Callithrix jacchus: one gene and its partner. The protein of the gene in region 2 interacts with the protein of the main gene of each other region in a biochemical or structural test. Links are inferred from orthologs where the notes say so. Each region holds a gene or a part of one and is shown on either strand. Other genes may lie near its edges.

Region 1 (10,043 bases), on a different chromosome or scaffold from region 2:
CCCAGTGGTTGATTCCAGGCATAGCATCCGCACTCATCACTGCAGTCCTGGCACACAGCGAGAGCTCAACACAGAACCAACACAGTGGAGCTGGGCGAATACCTGAGCTCTGAGAGGAAATCTAAGAAGCCCCCACCCCTCCTCTATCTCATGACAGTTGGGTAAAGCGAGGCCCAGAGAGAGAGGCTTCAGTGGCTCACCCAGCCCCCCTGGGCCTGGATCCAGGGCGTGAAGCTGTGCACGTGCTCCACGCTGAGTCCGGCCAGGGTGCCCCCCAGCCCGGCCACGCGCCGGCTCAGCTCCATGGCCAGGGCCAGGCGGGCCAGGGGCTCCGGAGAAGGAGGCGGGGGCCCAGGGCATGCTGGGCTTGGGCGAGATCGGTCCTCCCGGCTGCAGAACAGCTCCACCAGGCGAGTGAAAGAGCCGGAGGACAGGCGGACCAGCTTGCTGCGCAGGGCGGGGTCCGAGGCCAGCTGTGGGGTGGAAGAGGCAGGGTCAGCGTCAGCTGCGCCCCAGGGACCAGCCAACATGGAGCTGGGAGGCGTGGTTCCCCGGTTCAGGACACTTCTAGATGCTAAAACTCTAGGCCATCCCTCATTCATATCAGCCAATCACGTCAGACTCTAGGGTCTCGGCCAAACTACCCCCAGGATACGGGCCGGGAACCTGAGTTGCTAAGCCACGCCCCTTTCCTTGCCGCCACAGCCGATCAGGGTCAATCTCTGCTGTAACTGAGTTAATCTAGTCACGCCCCCAGTGCCCTTTCCCAGGGGCCAACCTAGTGTCTACAACAACCTTGCCCTCTACCATTCAATTAATACGAGAGGTTCATGTATCCTGCCCAAGCTCCCGAGCCAATAGATTTCAAGACACAGCCACAAGCCACGCCTCCTAAGCCAGGCCACATCCTATGCTCAGTGAGATTTTAGACACTCCCCCAATCCCCACATTCATTCTTTCCCGACTTGGCCAATCTCTTCCAGACCATGACCACACCCTCTGCATTTAGGCCACGCCCCTCTAACGATCAAAACCCCTAATTTACAGTACAGCACTATCCTAACCACACTGCTGTCATTCAACCATTCTTTTTTCTTTCTTTGTTTTTGAGACAGAGTCTTGCTCTGTCGCCCAGGCTGGAGTGCAGTGGCAGTATCTTGGCTCATTGCAACCTCTGCCTCCTGGGCTCAAGTGACTCTCTCGCCTCAGCCAGCTGGGATTACAGGTGTGAGCCACTGCACCCGGCTAATTTTTGTATTTTTAGAAGAGACAGGGTTTCACCGTGTTGGCCGGGCTGGTCTTAAACTCCTGATCTCAGGTGTTCCGCCTATCCTGGCCTCCCAAAGTGCTGGGATTACAGGCGTGAGCCACCTCTCCTGGCCTCAACCCTTCATTAAACGTTGTCCTACCCTCTCTCCACTTGACCATCCAAAGAAAATACAGATCTAGCTTCTGATCCCAGTGCCCCACCATTCCGTAACTCCTGTCCTTGCCAAGGGGTGGGACAGACGCCCATCACCTTTTGGTTAATGACTTCTGCCTCCTCCTCCAGCAGGGCCACCAGCCTCCGCAGTAGGGCTTCCTTCTCTGTGAGCGGGGGACCCTGTAACTCTGCAGGCAGAAGAGAATTTGGCTGGGGGCCAAACCCTGACTATCCTCCTACCCCCATCCTTCTCTGGGGCCCCTCTGCGCCTCACCTGGGCTAGATGGAGATTTTAGTTGCTCTTCAACCAACTGTTCTAGCCGCTGGGCCACCAAGGCATAAAAGTCTGGAGTAGCTGGGCCTGGGTAAAGAGAGTTCATGACAGGATTCCAGGACACTGGAAACATAGATTCTCTCCTTCCCCCGACTACTTTGGCAGGTGGCAATGATTCTCATTTTATAATGGGGTAAACTGAGGCCCAGTGAGAAAACTTGGTAAAAAATGTCAAAACCCTTGCACTTTTCACTTTATCATATCCTCAGACTGGACTTAGAACGTCAGAGTTGGCCGGGTGCAGTGGCTCATGCCTGCAATCCCAGCACTTTGGGAGGCCAACATGGGAGGGTCACTTCAGGCCAGGAGTTTGAGGCCAGCCTGGCCAACATGGGAAACCCTGTGTCTACTAAAAATGCAAAAATCAACTGGTATGCTGGTGTGCACCTGTAATCCCAGGCACTTGGGAGGCTGAGACACAAGAATCGCTGGAATCCAGGAGGTGGGGGTTGCAGTGAGTCGAGATTGTACCACTGCTCTCCAGCCTGGGTGACAGAGCAAGATTCTGTCTCCAAAAGATGGTCAGAGCTGAACTAGACCTCGAAGATGATCTCATCCAAGGAAGGCAAACACAAGACACTACTGTTAGTATCCCCTTCCCTCACCCACTTCAGACATCACCAATTGATCACAGCACTTCCTCTCCCTAGCTGTGAACCGCTTTCAAGCTAGCACTCCCAGCAGCCATAACTAGTGCATCCAGGTTCACACCTACGAGGAAGCTTGTTGGTTACTCTTGATCAAGTCCAGTGATCTCCTCTCAATTCCTACACTGTTATGGAAAAACAGGGGAGCCGGGCAGCAAGCATTTTCCCTAGAGTCACACAACTAAAACAGCCAGGGTGACGTGATGGAAAACCTCTCCTGCCTCTCTATCAGGGGTATTCCTGGCTACAAAAGTCCTAGGGCAGGGAAGTAGTTATAGAAGCAAAGAGACAACAGCCAGAGCGACCAAATGCTCTCTGAAAACCAACCCACAGAACTGGCAGAAATCTGACTAGGGAGGGGAGAGGACAGGTTCCGTCCTGAAGGCTGGTGTCAAAGACTCCACAAAGCCACTCACTAGCTGAGTGATCTTCTATTTTTTTTTTTTTTTTTTTTGAGACAGAGTTTCGCTCTTGTTACCCAGACTGGAGTGCAATGGCGCGATCTTGGCTCACCGCAACCTCCGCCTCCCGGGTTCAGGCAATTCTCCTGCCTCAGCCTCCCGAGTAGCTGGGATTACAGGCACGTGCCACCATGCCCAGCTAACTTTTTGTATTTTTAGTAGAGATGGGGGTCTCACCATGTTGACCAGGATGGTCTCGATCTCTTGACCTCATGATCCACCCGCCTCGGCCTCCCAAAGTGCTGGGATTACAGACTTGAGCCACCGCGCCTGGCCTATTTTTTTTTTTTGAGACAGTCTTGCTCTTGTTGCTCAGGCTGGAGTGCAGTGGCACAATCTTGGCTCACTGTAACCCCCGCCTCCTGGGTTCAAGTGATTCTCCTGCCTCAGACTCCTGAGTAGCTGGGATTTCAGGCACCTGCCACTATCGCCAGGCTAATTTTTGTACTTTTAGTAGAGATGGGGTTTCATCATGTTGGCCAGGCTGGTCTTGAACTCCTGACCGCCTGTGATCCGCCCACTTTGGCCTCCCGAAGTGCTGGGATTACAGGCATGAGCCACCGTGCCTGGTCATAGTTAAATAATCTTAAACTACTACCTTATCCCATGTTCTGCCACTTTCACAGATGATCATGGAAATCTCTTACCAGGCTCTGAACCGTAGCAGGGGCGGATGGGCAGAGAGCAAGGCCGAGGGGACTCAGGGGGGGCTGCTCCTCGCCCCAGGGAGCAGGGAAGACATCTTCGAAGGCGGCTCAGGAAGTCTGTTGGCTCTTCTGGGGCAGGGCTTCTGGGGAGGAGGACTTCAGAGAGTGACCCCACCAGAGATCCTCTGTAAGTCACTTTTCTCAACTCACTCCCTCCCCCACTGAGGACCTCTCTCCAAAACCCCAAAGACAGAGAATAGAGTCAGATATAAAGAGAGGAGAGAGACTGAGACCAGGAGCAAGAGTTAGGAGGGGGCCTCAAATCCTGGCCCCTCGGGGAGAAGCACAACTCCTGTTACCTGGGTGAAGTTGCAACAGGAGACCCGGCAGTCTCACCACGCCTGAGGAAGGCAGCTAGGACCCTCAGCGTGTCTTCCCGGAGACCCAGCTCTTCTGAGCCTGCCATGGAGGCACCTATGAGAGAGGGGGCTAGGGACTGAACTCCAAGGATTTATCGAGAAGTGGAGGCTTGAGGACCGGGAGTTGTGAGTCCCAAGGAAGGTGATGAGGGCCCGGACTCCTGGGTCCTTTGGAGAGTGTGGGTCTGGGCGCTTAGACTCTTGAGTCCTCAGACAGAAGAGGGAACAGGACAGACTCATTAATCCAAGGAAAGCTAGGGGGTGGGTGCCCAGATTCGTGGACCTAAAGGAGGAGGGAGCTAGGGTCCTAGATTCCTGAGTCTTAGAGAGAAAGGAACTGGAGCCCCTGACCCTTATGTCTCCCAGGGAGAAGGGGCTTAGCGCCCCAACTCCTGGATTCTGAAAGAGGTATATGCCGAACTACTCAAACTCTTAAAGCATCGGGAACTACCAATCCCAGCAGGCTTTACGGCAAATCTTCTCCTCGGTCCCCGCTTCTTCGCCGCACAGCCTGCTGGGAGGTGTATTTCCAAATCTCCTGCTCCTGGAATATACACTTGGATGTCGGAGAAGCGGGACTGGGTTCTCACTCCTGCATCCCGGCCGCCTCCTCTTCCCTCCACACCCCGACCCTCGGCAACACTCCGCTGACCTGGTCCGGGGCCCCACCGCCGCCACCTCCACTCAACTTGCCGCCTTCTTCACTCAACTCGTACAAAACTTTCTAGGTCAACTTTCCCGCCCCTGCGCACTGGGCCGGGTGGGTAACCGGCCCAACGTAGAAAAGGCGGAACGCTGGCTGCACGCTCAATTTGCATTTGACGCTCCCAGCATGCCTCTGGCCGGAAAGCCGAAAAAGGGCATGGGGGCGGGGACAGCCCGGGCCCTACGGCCTGTCCCTTCGGCTCTGGGTTCTGTCACTCAAAGAATGATAAAGTTGTTTTTATTTCAAGAAGTCGTTGGAAAAGAAAGTCCCAGCGCTCTAGAACTCAGCTGACGGGAAAGCGGGTGTTCAGCCTCGAGTTTGAGAGCTACCCGGAGCCCCAAGACGGGTGGGCTCCAGCTCCCCGCACGCCCCGACCTTCCATCGTAGGTAACGCGGAAGAGCCCGGGAGAGCGTTGGTGGCGTTCGAGAACGAGGAGCGGGAAAGATGATGGGTCTGTACGGAAAGTGGAAAGGCAGGCTGTATAATCTGGGGAAAGTGGAGAAAGGAGGGAGTGGCCGGCGCTGGAGGTCTGTTGCAGAAAAACTAGAAAAAGTAGGGAGGGAAGAGAAAGAGGAGGCGTCTACACTGAGGGAGATCTAGAGAGGGAGGGGTGGACTCCGCAGATGCGGGCAGTTCGCTCTCGAAAGCTGAGGCGTGCTCTGGAGGAGGGAGGCTGGCAGTCGAGGGAGCATTGTGGATGGAGGTTCTGCGTTGGAAGTAGGTAGGGGATCTTCTCTAGGGGGACTGTGGAAGGGGGTCTACACTGGGCTAAGTGCAGGCGGTAGAGGCTTACAAGTGAATCGATTCTGCACTGACATAGCTAGGGAAAGAGATGTTACCCTGAAAGTGGGGTTACTTGCTTTCGATATGGGGAAAGAGGGGGTCTACACTGGCAGAATTGAGGGAGTGGAGGGTCTGTACTGAAGTCGCTGGGGAAGGGTGTGCCATGGATAGGGGAAGGAACCCTAGCTGATTAGGGAGCCTCTCTGGCGGATGGGAGGATGGGAAGAGGAGGTTTCCTGTTTGTACCCCCGAAAACATGGGTGAAGGACCTGTGCCGTAGCCCATGACAGGGAGTTCTGGGCGCGGAAACTCCAGGCCAGGTGGGTCCAGGAGAGGCCGGCCGCGCCCAGGAAATGCCCTGTACGCGCAGGCCGGACCATGGGAACCCCAAAGCCACGGATCCTGCCCTGGCTGGAGTTGCAGCTGAATCTGGGGCAGCTGGAGGGTGTGGCCTGGGTGAATGAGAGCCGCACGCGCTTCCGCATCCCTTGGAAACACGGTCTACGGCATGATGCACAGCAGGAGGATTTCGGAATCTTCCAGGTGCGTGCGACCAGGGACGCTGGAAACCAGGAGCTGCGCGCTGGGCGGGAAAGACTCCGAGAGGCAGGGTTGAGAAGGCGGCGGTAGCGCGCGAGGGGCGGGCTCGTGTCAACGCTGGTGGGTGGGGCCAGAACGGGAGGGGCGGGGCTAGCCGGATCAGCTGACTGATGGGGGCGCCGGGAGGGTCGGAGTTGCCGGTTCCGGGAATAGAACTAGAACTGGGAGAGCCGGGTTAGTACGCAATGAAAATGCATCCTATGGGTTTGGAGCTCTCTAGGGGCCGGGGTTCCTAGTAGTAGGATCCTGGGGGATTGTTCTTGAAACATCAGAGGTGAGACTTGGAGCCCCAAATCTGGGGTTCCTAACCACCGAATTAGTATAAGCCAGACGTGGTAAACAGTGTGAGGGACGAGGTTATCACCGAGGGTGTCCTGAGGCAGGTGGTGCACGGGGTTAGTAGGACTTGAAAGCCTGGCTTAGAAAGAAAAGGTTTTTGGGGGGCGCGGTGGTTCACATAGAATCCCAGTACTTTGGCAAGGCCGAGGCTAGAGGATCGCTTGAGCCCCGGAGTTTGAGACCAGCCTGGGCAACACAGGCCCCGTCTCGTTAAAAACAAAAGAGGTTTCAAAGGCTTTTGAAGAGGCGGGGCGCGGTAACTCACGCCTGTAATCCCAGCACGTTGGGAGGCTGAGGCAGGCAGATCATTCTAGAAAACTAGAGGTGGGGATGGAGGTAGGTGGGATGGGGGGATTTGGGGATGGACCTTGCAGAGTTACAACTTGCCAGGGAAAGAGGGTGGTGTTAGGATGCCGGAGACAGGGTTGGGGCTCCGGGACAGGATCTAGGTCGTCCTCTCTCACTATCCTCACACCACTGTTGCCCCAGGCCTGGGCTGAGGCCACTGGTGCATACGTTCCCGGGAGAGATAAGCCAGACCCGCCAACCTGGAAGAGGAATTTCCGTTCTGCCCTCAACCGCAAAGATGGATTGCGTTTAGCAGATGACCGAAGCAAGGACCCTCACGACCCACATAAGATCTACGAGTTTGTGAACTCAGGTCTGCCAGATCGGGGTCAGTGTGGGAGGCTGGGGTCCCAAGGGTTCCTGGCACCCCTAGCCACTTCAACACCTTTCTCAACAGCAGTTGGGAACTTTGCCCAGCCAGACACATCTCCAGACACCAGTGGCGGAGGCAGTACTTTTGATACCCAGGTAAGAATGTGCCCAACCTTCACGCCCCCACTGTCTGTCCTGTTCCCATGGACTCATCCTCTCCCTGTGGACCAGTGCGCCTCCCTCACCTCGTCTGCCCCTCACCTGAGCCAGTGCTGGCCCTGTCTGTCCCATGCTCCAGTCTCCTCAGGAGAAAATTCAGTCTTCACTTGGCATTGAAGGCACTCAATTTGCATTTGACACGCCTTCCCGGGATTTCCTGTAGATCCTTGATTGGCGGGGGGAGGGGGGGAGTGGGGGGACGGCTGTCTGTCAGCCTCTTGGGAACTGAAAACCTCCCTCCCTCCCCTTGATCCTGCCGCTGTCAGAGCCAGGGGAGCATCCCCTCTGAAATTCTGCCCAGGCCTTGCCTGCAGAAAGCCAGATCCTGGGGTTGGAATGGTAGCATGTGGCATTCATTAGAGTGTCTATTTGGCTATTGATGCCCGTGGCTGCCACTGTCCCCAGACTGGAAGCCCTCTGAAAGCAGAGCTCAAGCCTGACCTCCCTGCACTGCTGAGAACAGACCTGGTCCACATTTAGTCTCCAGAAAAGGCTGTGGAAATGCCTAATTCTCTTTTTGTTTCCCTCTAGGAAGACATTCTGGATGAGTTACTGGGTAACATGGTCTTGGCCCCACTCCCAGATTCGGGACCACCAGGCCTGGCTGTAGCCCCTGAGCCCTACCCTCAGCCCCTGCTGAGCCCCAGCTTGGATAATCCCACGCCCTTCCCAAACCCGGAGCCCTCTGAGAATCCACTGAGGCGGCTGCTGGTGCCGGGGGAAGGTGAGGGTCAGCTGCCGGATAGGAGGGGCTGAGGTCTGGGTAGCAGTCCCTGACACTCTCTCAATCCTTCTCCCCTTCACGCTGCTACTGCCGCTGCTCAGAGTGGGAGTTCGAGGTGACAGCCTTCTACCGGGGCCGCCAAGTCTTCCAGCAGACCATCTCCTGCCCAGGGGGCCTGCGGCTGGTGGGGTCGGAAGTGGCAGACAGGACGCTGCCTGGATGGCCCATCACACTGCCAGACCCTGGCGCATCCCTGACAGACAAGGGCGTGATGACCTATGTGAGGCACGTGCTGAGCCGCCTGGGTGGGGGACTGGCTCTGTGGCAGGCCGGACAGCAGCTCTGGGCCCAGCGGCTGGGGCAGTGCCACACGTACTGGGCAGTGAGCGAGGAGTTGCTCCCCAACAGTGGGAATGGGCCTGATGGCGAGGTTCCCAAGGACAAGGAAGGAGGCGTGCTCGACCTGGGACCCTTCATTGTAGGTAAGTGAGATGGGGGCTTTGCCCTGCCCAGGAGGAAGCAGCCCATTAGTGGTTAAGATCTCAGGATTAGGACTGAATTCAGACCCTGGCTGTGCTCCTCCGACTGTATAACCCGAGGGAAAGGACTTTGCCCTGAGCCCACGGAATCCGAGGACGGTCTCTTCTCTCTACTTGCCTGCCAGCGCTGGGGTGAGACCCAGGCCGAGTACGTAGAGCGTGCTCAGGAATTAGCTCCCACTGTCACCATCATCGTAACTAATGATGGTGGATAGAGCAAACAGCAGGAAAGCTGCGTGCCTTAGGGAGTCGCTCTGCGGCGGAGCGCTCCACGATGATGGAAATGGCCACCTACGCTGCCTGGTACAGCAGCCACTAGCTACAGGGCCCAAGCACTCAGGTGAGGCCCGTGCCACCAGGACGTGGTTCGCTTTAATTAGTTACAGTTTAAACTTAAGTGACCTCACATTGCCGATGGCTGCAATTAGTGCAGCCTTGGAGGAGACTAAATGGCAACCAGCTTCTCCAGATTCACTGAGCATCCTTGGGGGAATGGGCCCCTACTCTGGACCTGTCATGAATGCTGAGGCTTGGGGGCTGGGGGGGTTCAACCTTCCAACAATCCCACCCTGACGGGAGGGAGGGATTAAGTACAAAAACAGGATCATGGGGACTTTCCCCAAACAAGCATTCCCTGGTGGAGGTAGCAGAGGGCCTCAGGTCGGGGGAGGTAGGGGGTGCTATTTTCAAGTTTATGGGGAAGCAGGGGTAGAGGGACCTCTTCTCACCCCTGACTAGGCTTCTGGGTTCCCAGATCTGATTACCTTCACTGAAGGAAGCGGACGCTCACCACGCTATACCCTCTGGTTCTGTGTTGGGGAGCCATGGCCCCAGGACCAGCCATGGACCAAGAGGCTCGTGATGGTCAAGGTGCCTGTAGCCCTGAGTCCCTGGGGCTGAGAGGGGTGGCCTTACAGAGGGAAGAGGCTGCTCCCAGGAACTGCAACTCCCAGAAGGCCCTCCAAAAAGCTGCAACTTCCAAGAGCCCTGCAGTAACCAGCTGTTCATCCCCAGGAGCTCCTTCCCATGGCCCCACCAGCAGAGCCTGTTTTCAACTTTCTAAACCAGCAGTCCCCGAGCATTTTGGCACCAGGGACCAGTCTCATGGAACATAATTTTTCCACAGAAAGGGAGGGGGTGGCTTTGGGAAGAAACTGCCCCACTGCAGATCATCAGGCATTAGATTCTCATAAGGAACAATCTAGGTCCCTCTTGTGCACAGTTCACAAAGAGTTTGTGCTCCTGTGAGAATCTAATGCCACCGATCTGAGAGAAGACCGAGTTCAGGCAGTAATGTTCCCTCACCCACTGCTCATGCCCTGCTGTGCCCTGGTTCCTAGCAGGTGATGGGGTTGGGGACCCCTGCTCTAAACCATGTAGAAGCTGGTGGACACCAAGTCCTAGCTGCCATTGTGAGGCCATGGCTGTGGCTCCAGGAGTCAGGATCATAGATTGCTCAGCCTTGACTCCTGGGAGCACTCTGGCCTGGCACACGCACACGCGTGTGTGTGTAAAGAGGGGAAACTTGGCCGGGCGCGGTG
Region 2 (10,107 bases):
ACATTTACTCAGATAAAAATGAATCAAGTCCTCATGAATGTAGTCTTAGCACTTTGGGCAGCCAGGGCGGGTGGATCACCTCCTGATCATGGAGGTCAGGAGTTCGAGACCAACCTGGCTACCATGGTGAAACCATGTTTCTACGAAAAACAACAACAACAACAACAAAAATTAGCTGGGCACGGTGATGCACACCTGTAGTCCTAGCTACTCAAGAGGCTGTGGCAGGAGAATCCTTTGAACCCAGGAGCTGGAGGTTGCAGTGAGCTGAGATGTCGCCATTGTGCTCCAGCCTGGGCAACAGAGTGAAATACAAAACACAAACAACCCCCAAAATGAATCAAGTCATACACTTAAGATTGATATATTTTTCTGAATGTAAATTATGCTTCAAGAAACAAACCCTTCCATGCACAAAGTACTTAGGGTGACTTCTGCTTCCTGCAGTGAAAACCCGATTTTGGGAGAGGAGCCCTAGGACAAGAGATAGCAAGAGACTCTGAGAGCAAGCAGGGCACCAGCAATGTGGCAAGAAGCTGGGAGTATGGAGGGATGTGACCAGGGAGAAATCTGTGTTGGGAGAGGCCTATGAATTTTAGGAACTCTATATCTAACTGTCAAGGCATGTCATTGCCAAGCAGCCTGTGTCAGTGGCAGGCAACCAGCCACACAACGTCCTGAGGCCTGATGAGAGGGCTGCGCCAACTACAGGGCCAGACAGTCCCAGAGGAGTATCTGGCTGCAGCAGGGACTGACCCAGGAGCTGCTGTGAGCCAGGCCCCCTCCTTTTCCTGAGATCCCTGAGAGGTAAGCCAGGCTCATGGCAGACCCTATTATGTCCCACATCATGGCTGGAACCATCTCACATGGCTGGTCAAGGTAAGGATGACCCCAGGAAGCCAAAGGACTTGGATACTCTGTATTGTGGGGAAAAAAATACACTAAAAAAGTCACCAGCAGTCACCCCTGGGTGGTGGCATTATGGTTTTTTTGCTTTTTTGAGATGGAGTGTCGCTCTGCCACCCAGGCTAGAGTGCAGTGGTATGATCTTGGCTCCTGGGTTCAAGCGATTCTCCTGTCTCAGCCTCCTGAGCAGCTGGGGTTACAGATGTTGCCACCAAGCATGACTAATCTTTGTAGATGGTGGCATTATGAATATGGATTTTGGTTTTCTTCATCAAATATTTCTGTTTTCCCCACATTAGCTGTAAAAAGTATATATATATGTAAATAAGTTGACAGATTGAACAAATTGAACAGTTTAAAGAATAGCTGTGTAAGTGCAGTGGAGTCTGCCTGTGGTCCTAGCTACTTGAGAAGTTTAGGCAGAAGGATTGCCTGAGCCCAGGAGTTCAAGACCAACTTGAGCAATGTGGTAAGACCTTTGTTTATTTTTAAAATAAATAAATAAAAAATAAAGAATAACTGTTTAAAATATTATTCAAAATGAATTCATAAAGGTGGGATTATATTTTTAGTCTCAGTTTCCCGAAGGACTCACACCTGAGAACATGACCATGTTTGGGGCTCTCTGGCACTATCTTTGGGCCTGACCTCTGCTCTCTAGGGGGAAAATGAGCTGGTGGTTGCTGAGTCATCATGTATGGGTCACATCCTCCTTGGGAGGCCTGGAGACATGGGCCTGTCTGTGATGAGATTTAGTGGGCAGGGGGCAGCTCCAGGGCCCTCACTGGGGGCAGCCTAGGGCATAGATCACTCTCTGGACTTGCTCTTCTCCTAACAAATGGACAATGATCAATGAATTATACCCATGAAATAGGGTGGGACACAATAAAAAATAAAAGATAATATAAATAGCCAGATAGGGTCAAAGATGATTTATTTTACTTTATAATTTTGAAATGACTTCAGATTTACAACATAGTTGCAAAAATAATGCAAATGTTTACATCTTACATAACCCAGTGCAATGATCCTAACACTGACAGATAATCGTTAACTAATCCAAAAGCCTTATTCGGATTTTGCCTGATGTCCTTTTTCTGTTTCAGGATCCAACAAGGTTCCCATATTGCATTCAGTTATCATGTCACTTTGGTGTCCTTTTCTCTGGAGCAGTCGCTCAGTCTCCTTGTCTTTCCTGACCTTGAAATTTTTGAAGAGTTATTCTGCAGAGCGGTGCTATCCAATAGAACTTCCAGCAATCATGGAAATGTTGTTAGTGTTGCTCACTATGAAGCCATTAGCTACATGAAAATAGCATTTGAAATGTGGCTCGTGGGGCTCAGAAACTGGCTTCTAAGTATTATTTAATTTTAATTAAAATAGCTACATGTGGCTAGTAGCCACTGTATTGGACAGGACAGCTGTCAAATGTCCCTCATTTGGGGTTTGCTTACTGTTTCTCTATGAGTAGTTTCAGATCATGAGCTTTTGATAGGAATACCATAAGCATGTCGTTGTGTTCTTTATCTAAATTTTTATAAAAGCTGTTGAGGGCCTGGTATGGTGGCACATGCCTGTAATCCCAGCACTTTGGGAGGCTGAGGTGGGTGGATCATGAGGTCAGGAGATCCAGACCATCCTGGCCAATATGGTGAAACCCCGTCTCTACTAAAATACAAAAAAATTAGCTGGGTATGGTGGTGCACACCTGTAGTCCCAGCTACTCAGGAGGCTGAGGCAAGGGAATGTCTTGAAACCAGGTGGCAGAGGATGCTGTGAGCCGAGGTTGTGCCACTGTACTACAGCCTGGGCGACAGAGCAAGACTCCGTCTCAAAAAAAAAGCTGTTGACAGGTGACAGGGAACTACCTAGTCAGGCAGTGGGATTGTTTTAATGCCCTTTGAGGTCCAGCAAAGAAAGGAGTGATAGCCGCATTTGGAACCCTGTCCCAACACTTTCAATGTTCTTCCTCAAAGAATTAGATATGAAGCTGCTAGAGCACAGTGGGGAGCAGGCAAGATTGATTCTTGAACTAATCAACATTTATGCCCTCTTGGCTAAACTAGGCAGAGCTGGTTTTATTACAGTACAGACGTGAATAAGCACACTTTGTAAATGCTGAAGGTTGTGAAATATCCACAGGGCTATAAAGTACAGTATAAAAACCTCACCTGAGGCCGGGCCTGGTGGCTCATGCCTGTAATCCCAGCGCTTTGGGAAGCGGAGGCGGGTGGATCACCTGAGGTCAGGAGTTCAAGACCAGCCTGGCCAACATGGAGAAACCCCCTCTACTAAAAATAGAAAAATTAGCCGGGGGTGGTGGCGTGGGCCTATAATCTCAGCTGCTCAGGAGGCTGAGGCAGGAGAATTGCTTAAACCCAGAAGTAGAGGTTGCAGTGAGCAGAGATTGTGCCATTGCACTCCAGCCTCGGTGACAAGAGTGATACTCCGCCTCAAAACACTGGCTTTGGAGTCAAGCCTGTACTTAGGCATCTTAAGTCTTCTTTTTTAAAATTGCAGTATATAGTAACACATGACCTTCAGTGAGTGTACAGCTAATACATTTTTACATAGGCTTTAGCTCTGGTATGCAGTATATAGTAACACATGACCTTCAGTGAGTGTACAGCTAATACATTTTTACATAGGCTTTAGCTCTGGTACCCACCACTCACATCAAGATGTAGAATATTTCCACTCCCCTAGAAGGTGTGCATCCCTCCCCTCCCCCAATCGACATCCCCCAGAAATTACCAGTATTTAATTTATACTTATGTAGATTCGTTTTGTCTGTTTTTGAACTTTATATGACTGGAAGCAGACAGAATGTGCTCTTTAGTGTTTGGTTCCATTCACTAAGCACTATTTAGCTGCTGGTGCCCACTCAACTGTGGGAAGATCCTCCTATGTCTGTGTGTCAATAGTTTGTTCATTTTCACTGTGGTATACTATTCCATAGTGTGATTACACCATAGTTTGTCTTTCTGTTTTCCTGCTGATGACCATTTGCGTTTTCGGATTTTGCCTATCATGAATAAGTCAGTACAAACATTATCTAGGTGTATGTTTCTAGGTAGATATATACCCAGGGGCGAAATTGCTGGGTCATAGGATTAGCATACGTTTAACTTCAGTAACAACTGTCATTTTTCCAAATCTCTTTTTTCTTTTAAGATGAGGTTTCACCATGATGGCCAGGCAGGTCTTGAACTCCTGACCTCAGGTGATCCACCCACCTCAGCCTCCCAAAGTGCTAGGATTACAGGCGTGAGCCACCGCGCCCGGCTCCAAATCTCTTAAACTCTTTTTAAAACAGGAAGAATAAACCTACTCTACCTGATTATCGTGAGCGTATTTAATGAACTCTAAAGAATAAGGTTTTAAGCCTTGTGCCTGGAAGACAGTAGGTGCTCAATAAGTGCTGGCCTCTGCCCCAGCAGGGGAAAGGCGAGGCAGAAGGCAGGAACTGCGGGAGGTACCCGCCCCATACCGTTGGGCGGAAGAGGCCTCTCCCACGCAGCACTTAAGTCACCCCCAGCCTGCCCGTCAGCCAGTTTGGCGTGCCTGCCTTGGGCCTACCCACCCTGCATTCCGTCGCCCGCTCCCGTTCCCACAGGCCCGGCGTGCGCGTCTCCTGCCTAGGCATCCTTGCCCCTGTGACTTCAGCGTCTCCCAGCGTTTGCTGGACACTAACTGTATGCCAGGCCATGAGGCTGCAGGAGAGAACGACACGAAGATCCTCGCCCCTCAAAGCTCCCGGCAGGAGGAGGGGCTGCTTCACTTGAGAAGCGTGGGGATGGAATTCTCAGCCCGCCAATGACTCGGAGGCCGGCCGCCCGCCTGGTTTCTGGCCGGACACTGGACTTCCCCTGGAAGTTGCTCGAGACGAACAAGGGAAGAAAACAATCCGCTCTCCCGCGCCCCCAGCAGGAAATCAGGTCGATCCTCCGAGCCTAGTCCTGTGTGTCCCCGACCCGCAAACCAAGGCCCAGCGCCCGCCCCCGCCTCTCCGTCCCTGAGCCTCCAGCCAATCACGCGCGGCCGGGAAGCCCCGCACCCTCCTGTTGGCCAATGGCCGCGCGGCCTGCCTGCCCCGTCCCGTCGCTGCGGGGAGGGTCGTAGGCCCCGCGCGGCTGTCGCCAGGTCGCAGGGCCGGGGCTACCCGAGGTAAGATCGCCGCTGGGGCCCTTGGTCCTCTCTGCTCAGTACACACGGACGCCTTTAGGGAAGGTGGCTGCAGCGGAATGACCGCGTCAGCCGGGGCGCCCTGGGTCTGGGGCGCTCGGGGTTCGGGAAGAGCCGGCCCTGAGGCGCACGGGGTTCGGGGACACTGAGGGCTCCAGGCGCCGCATCCAGCACCGGGGAAAAGGGGTAGGTGGCGCTGGGCGTCTGCTCTGTCTGGGGGAAAGGTAGAGCCGGAAGGGCACGGGCAGTGGCCGCTGACCTCCTGCTGCCCGCAGGCCCAGGGTGACTCTAAGGGGGGGCCGAATCTCGACGGGCCGCGCCTTGGGCTCGAGTACTGCCGCCCTCCCCTGGGTGTGGACAGTTCTCGGCGGCGACACCAGCTCAGAAGAGCTTCCCGGCGCTCCGCGGACCTGGGTCTCGCCCAGGAATCCGATCCGAGGCTGTGAGGCCTGTCCCTTTCGGGAGGGTGGGTATTTATTTCCGGGACGCACTCAGAGCCTCTGGACAGTCAGGTCGGAAACTTTGCTGCATCGAGAACACTCTGTCACCTCCTTCCTTCTCAGATGGGAGAGGTGCCAGGAAAACAATGAAACAAACCAAAACAACGAAGAAGGCATTCTCTGTATGGAAGTCGTGAAGCCTCAAAACTATCTAGGAGGACAGCCAACGACTTGGGACCTGTGGCCGCAATGTGAGGGCAGGGTTAATGTCTGATCTAAATGTTGCTTCCTCCCAAGTGCACCCTCAGCCTCTCCCCACAAGTGACCTTGGGCCCTCTTTGGGCTTGAAGGCAGGTGGCTCTGTGGGCCTCACTTGCTGCAGGGGTCTCTGTGCCCTGCAAGGTGTATGACCAGCTGCAGTGAGGTAGGAGATTCTGGGTTCAAATCCTGTGCTAGCCTCTGGCCAATTGTGCACCTTGGCATCACTTCCCCTGTCACGGGACTGGGGAAGGATTAACTAAAAGAACCTTAGGATGTGCTTGTCTACAGTTGGCCCTCAATAAATGTGAACAGACGTGGGCTTCCTTTCCTTTTGGTTGGGCTACATCATCCCCTCCCCTCCATGTGTGTTGTAGGGGCTGAGGCTAGAGTGCCTCATCTGATTGCCTCCTGGTACCTGGCTGATGCCATGAGAAAGGAAGAAGAAACAGTGTTTTGTTTTTTTTTTTTAATGGAGTCTCACTCTGTTGCCCAGGCTGTAGTGTGATAGCCTGATCTCAGCTCACTGCAACCTCTGCCTCCCAGGTTCTAGAGATTCTCATGCCTCAGCCTCCCAAGTAGCTGGGAGTACAGGTGTCTGATGCCATGCCTGGCTAATTTTTGTATTTTTAGTAAAGACCGGGTTTTACCATGTTGGCCAGGCTGGTCTCAAACTCCTTACCTCAAGTGATCTGCCTGCCTTGGCCTCCCAAAGTGCTGGGATTACAGGCATGAGCCACCATGCTTGGCCAAGAAAGGGGTCTATTAACTGTCACAGAGTTGGTTTTTGCTCTTTTTTTTTTTTTTGAGACGGAGTCTTGCCCTGTCCCCAGCTGGAGTGCAGTGCATGATCTTGGCTCACTGCAACCTCCACTTCCCGGGTTCAAGTGATTCTCCTGCCTCGGCCTCCCAAAATGCTGGGATTATAGGTGTGAGCCACCATGCCCAGCACTTTGCTCATTTCTTGAAGGCTCAGAGCCTGACCCTCCTGAACTGTCCTTTGCACTTGGCCCACAAGGAATGCAGCAGTGCCTGGTGGTTGGCAAAGCAAGTTGTGCATGTGAGACTCTGAGGCCTGTGACAAGACTGTTTCCCCTGTGAGTGGGGTTTGGTGGCCCAGCAGCTTTCAGGTGCTGTCTGCTCCGCAGCACTGCCTCCTAGAGGTCTCATGCTTGCCTGATGCCCACTTGGTCCTCTTCTGCCTCCTTCCCTCCCTGACAGCCCACTAGGAATCCAATAGCATCTCAAGCTTCACTGTTCAAAACTGAGTTCTGGAGTTCCTTCTGAGCCACTCCTCCTCCCCTGGCTTCTCTGCTCTGGTAAATGGGCACCTGCCATCTACCCAGTGCCTAAGGAGTCATCCTTGATTTTTTTCTCTCCCTTATCTCCTACACCCTCAAAACACCAGAAATCTGGCTGCCTCCTGCCAACTCTGTAGTTTCCATCCTGGCCATAATCATCCTGTCTCCTCGGCTGTGGCCTCCTGACTGGTCTCCCAGTTTTCATCCTGGCCCCTCCACAGTTCTCACAATTGTCAGAGAAGTCTTTAATGTAAATCAGATCCTCTTCTTTCCCTGCCAGAACCTTCCAATTGGTCCCTGTTTCACTCCAACTAAAACCCAGAGTCCTTTCCTACAGCACCCTACGTGAGTGGTCCCTTTTACCTCCTTGACCTTCATCTTGCCCCTCTCCCTAGCTTTCTTAACCTTGACCACACTGACCTGCTTTCTATTCTTCAAACATGCCAAGTTCATCCCACTTTAGGACTTTTGCATTTACCATGCCCTCTGCCAAAAACACCAATCTTCTCAGAGCCTTAGAACGGCTCAGCTGTGTTCTTAACACTAGTTCAGAAAGGCTTCTTTGACCCCCTAGTTCAAGTAGCATGCCTGTCTCCAGGGGATGTGTCTCTTTACCTGCTTTATTTTCTTTAGAACCTTTATTGCTATCTGGAATTCTTATTTGGGTAAGAATTTACTGATCTGTTATTTGTTCCGCACCGGTAGAATATAAATTGGATGTGGCACAGACCTTGTCTCTTATTCCCTGCAGCATTCCCTGATGGGGGAGGCAAAAAAGAAACAAGCAAAAACATCTATAATTGCAAATTGTGGTAACTCCTACTAAACAACTGGTAGCAATAGCTTATATTTGAGGCCCTTAATTTTTTTTTTTTTTTTTTTAGACAGAGCTCCATTCTGTTGCCCAGGCTGAAGTGCAATGGCACGATTTTGGCTCACTGCAACCTCTGACTCTCGGGTTTAAGCAATTTTCTTGCCTCAGCCTCCTGAGTAGCTGGGATTGCAGGCGACCGCCACAATGCCCAGCTTAGTTTTTTGTATTTTTAGTAGAGATGGGGTTTCTCCATGTTGGCCAGGCCGGTCTCAAACTCCTGACCTCAGGTGATCCATCTACCTTGTCCTCCCAAAGTGCTAGGATTACAGGTGTGAGCCATGGCACCTGGCTGGCACTTAAAATTTTTAAACTTAGGCCGGCCACAGTGGCTCACACCTGTAATTCCAGCACTTTGGGAGGCCAAGGCAAGCGGATCACTTGAGGTCAGGAGTTCGAGACCAATCTGGAAAACATAGTGGAAACCCTGTCTCTACTAAAAAATACAAAAATTGGCCAGGCACGGTGGCCCACAACAACAAACAAAAAAGTTAGCCAGGTGTGATGGTGGGCTCCTGTAATCCCAGCTACTTGGGAGGCTGAGGCAGGAGAATTGCTTGAACCTGGGAGGCGGAGGCTGCAGTGAGCCTGGATCACACCACTGTACTCCAGCTTGGATGACAGAGGGAGACTCTGTCTCCAAAAAAAAAATAGACTTAGAAGGCTGAGTTACTGTACTGTCAAAACAAGCTATCTGAGCCATTTTAAGGGTGAGGAAAAGTCTGGAAACTGGTAACTTGCCCAGGACACACAGTGAATTCAAGGCATGGAACTCAGTCTCCCATCTTAAGAATGTATGTGGGCCGGGAGCGGTGTCTCAAACCTGTAATCCCAGCACTTTGGGAGGCCAAGGTGAGTGGATTACCTGAAGTCTGGAGTTTGAGACTAGCCTGACCAACATGGAGAAACCCCGTCTCTATTAAAAATACAAAATTAGCCTAGCATGGTGGCACATAATCCCAGCTACTTGGGAGGCTGAGGCAGGAGAATGCCTTGAACCCAGAAGGCAGAGGTTGTGGTGAGCTGAAATTGCACCATTGCACTCCAGCCTGGGCAACAAGAGTGAAACTCTGTCTCAAAAAAAGAGAGAATGTATGTGTAGCAGGCTTTAATGGCAGGCCTGCAGCTATGTCATGGAAAGAAGATGACCTGAAGATCTCAGTTCTTTGCTCTTCTACTAACTAGCAAGCATACCTCATTTTCTTCTTTAAAGTAGGATGAGCCTATTATTATCATGTTGGGCTTCACTTTTAATTTTTTCAGTATGTCCCAAAGCAGCAGCACTTTTAGGTACAGCCCTCTTGCGTATCAGCTTGAGGGCCTTAGAGCCAGGAGGAAAGCCAGGACATTCATAGGCACCGAAACTATGGTTACATACAGATCCCTCTACCACATGTGCTAGGAGTACACGCAGACCTCCCCAATGCTGACCACCCTACAGGACAGAAATGGGCCCTAGGTATTCTGGATCTGATTCTTTTTGGTCATCAACTATTTTTATTTTTTATTTTTTTTAGAGACAGGGTTTTGCTGTGTTGCCCAGGCTGGCCTCAAACACCTGGGCTCAAGAGATCCACCTGCCCTAGCTTCTCTAGTAGCTGCTGGTCATCAATTCATTTTTAGCAAATTCTGCGGGAACCTTGGAGAGACCCAGGCAGTAATAAAATAGGATGTTTAAAGAAACTAAAGATGGCTGAGCACAGTGGCTGACACTTACAATCCAAGCTACTTGACAGGCTGAGGCAGGAGGATCACTTGAGGCCAGGAGTTTGAGACCAGACTGGGCAACATGACAAGACCCTGTCTCTAGAAAAATTTTAAAAATTAGCTGGGTGTAGTGGCACAAGTCTGTAGTTCCAGCTACCTAGAATGCTGAGGCGGCAGGATTGCTTGAACGCAGGAATTTGAGGCTGCACCACTGCACCCAACTGGGGTAACAGAGTGAGACCCCATGTCTTAACAACAAAAAAGGTGGGCGTGGTGGTTCACGCCTGTAATCTCAAATCCTGGGAGACTGAGGTGGGTACATCACTTGAGGTCAGGAGTTTGTGACCAGCCTAGCCAACATGGTAAACCTACATCTCTACTAAAAATACAAAAATTAGATGGGCATGGTGGTTCACACCTATCATCTCAGCTACTTGGG

What was found. The genes of interacting proteins can lie anywhere in the genome.
Region 1: the proteins of MAVS (region 2) and IRF3 form a complex in vitro, tested with the Homo sapiens proteins (2 studies listed by BioGRID). The link is inferred for Callithrix jacchus from reciprocal best matches to the Homo sapiens genes MAVS and IRF3.

Annotation. Positions count from the first base shown.
Region 1 is NC_133523.1:43,426,225-43,436,267, reverse strand, and holds the start of IRF3 (interferon regulatory factor 3), read left to right. Parts: upstream 1-4,795; 5' UTR 4,796-5,082; coding exon of another isoform or gene 5,083-5,089; 5' UTR 5,090-5,261; coding exon 5,262-5,355; intron 5,356-5,791; coding exon 5,792-5,964; intron 5,965-6,113; exon of another isoform or gene 6,114-6,195; intron 6,196-6,849; coding exon 6,850-7,021; intron 7,022-7,105; coding exon 7,106-7,176; intron 7,177-7,770; coding exon 7,771-7,963; intron 7,964-8,064; coding exon 8,065-8,445; intron 8,446-9,256; coding exon 9,257-9,372; intron 9,373-10,043. Other genes in the region: BCL2L12 (bcl-2-like protein 12), read right to left, coding at 201-473, 1,698-1,784, 3,513-3,655, 3,872-3,978.
Region 2 is NC_133506.1:11,365,209-11,375,315, forward strand, and holds the start of MAVS (mitochondrial antiviral-signaling protein), read left to right. Parts: upstream 1-4,969; 5' UTR 4,970-5,277; intron 5,278-5,654; exon of another isoform or gene 5,655-5,782; intron 5,783-10,107.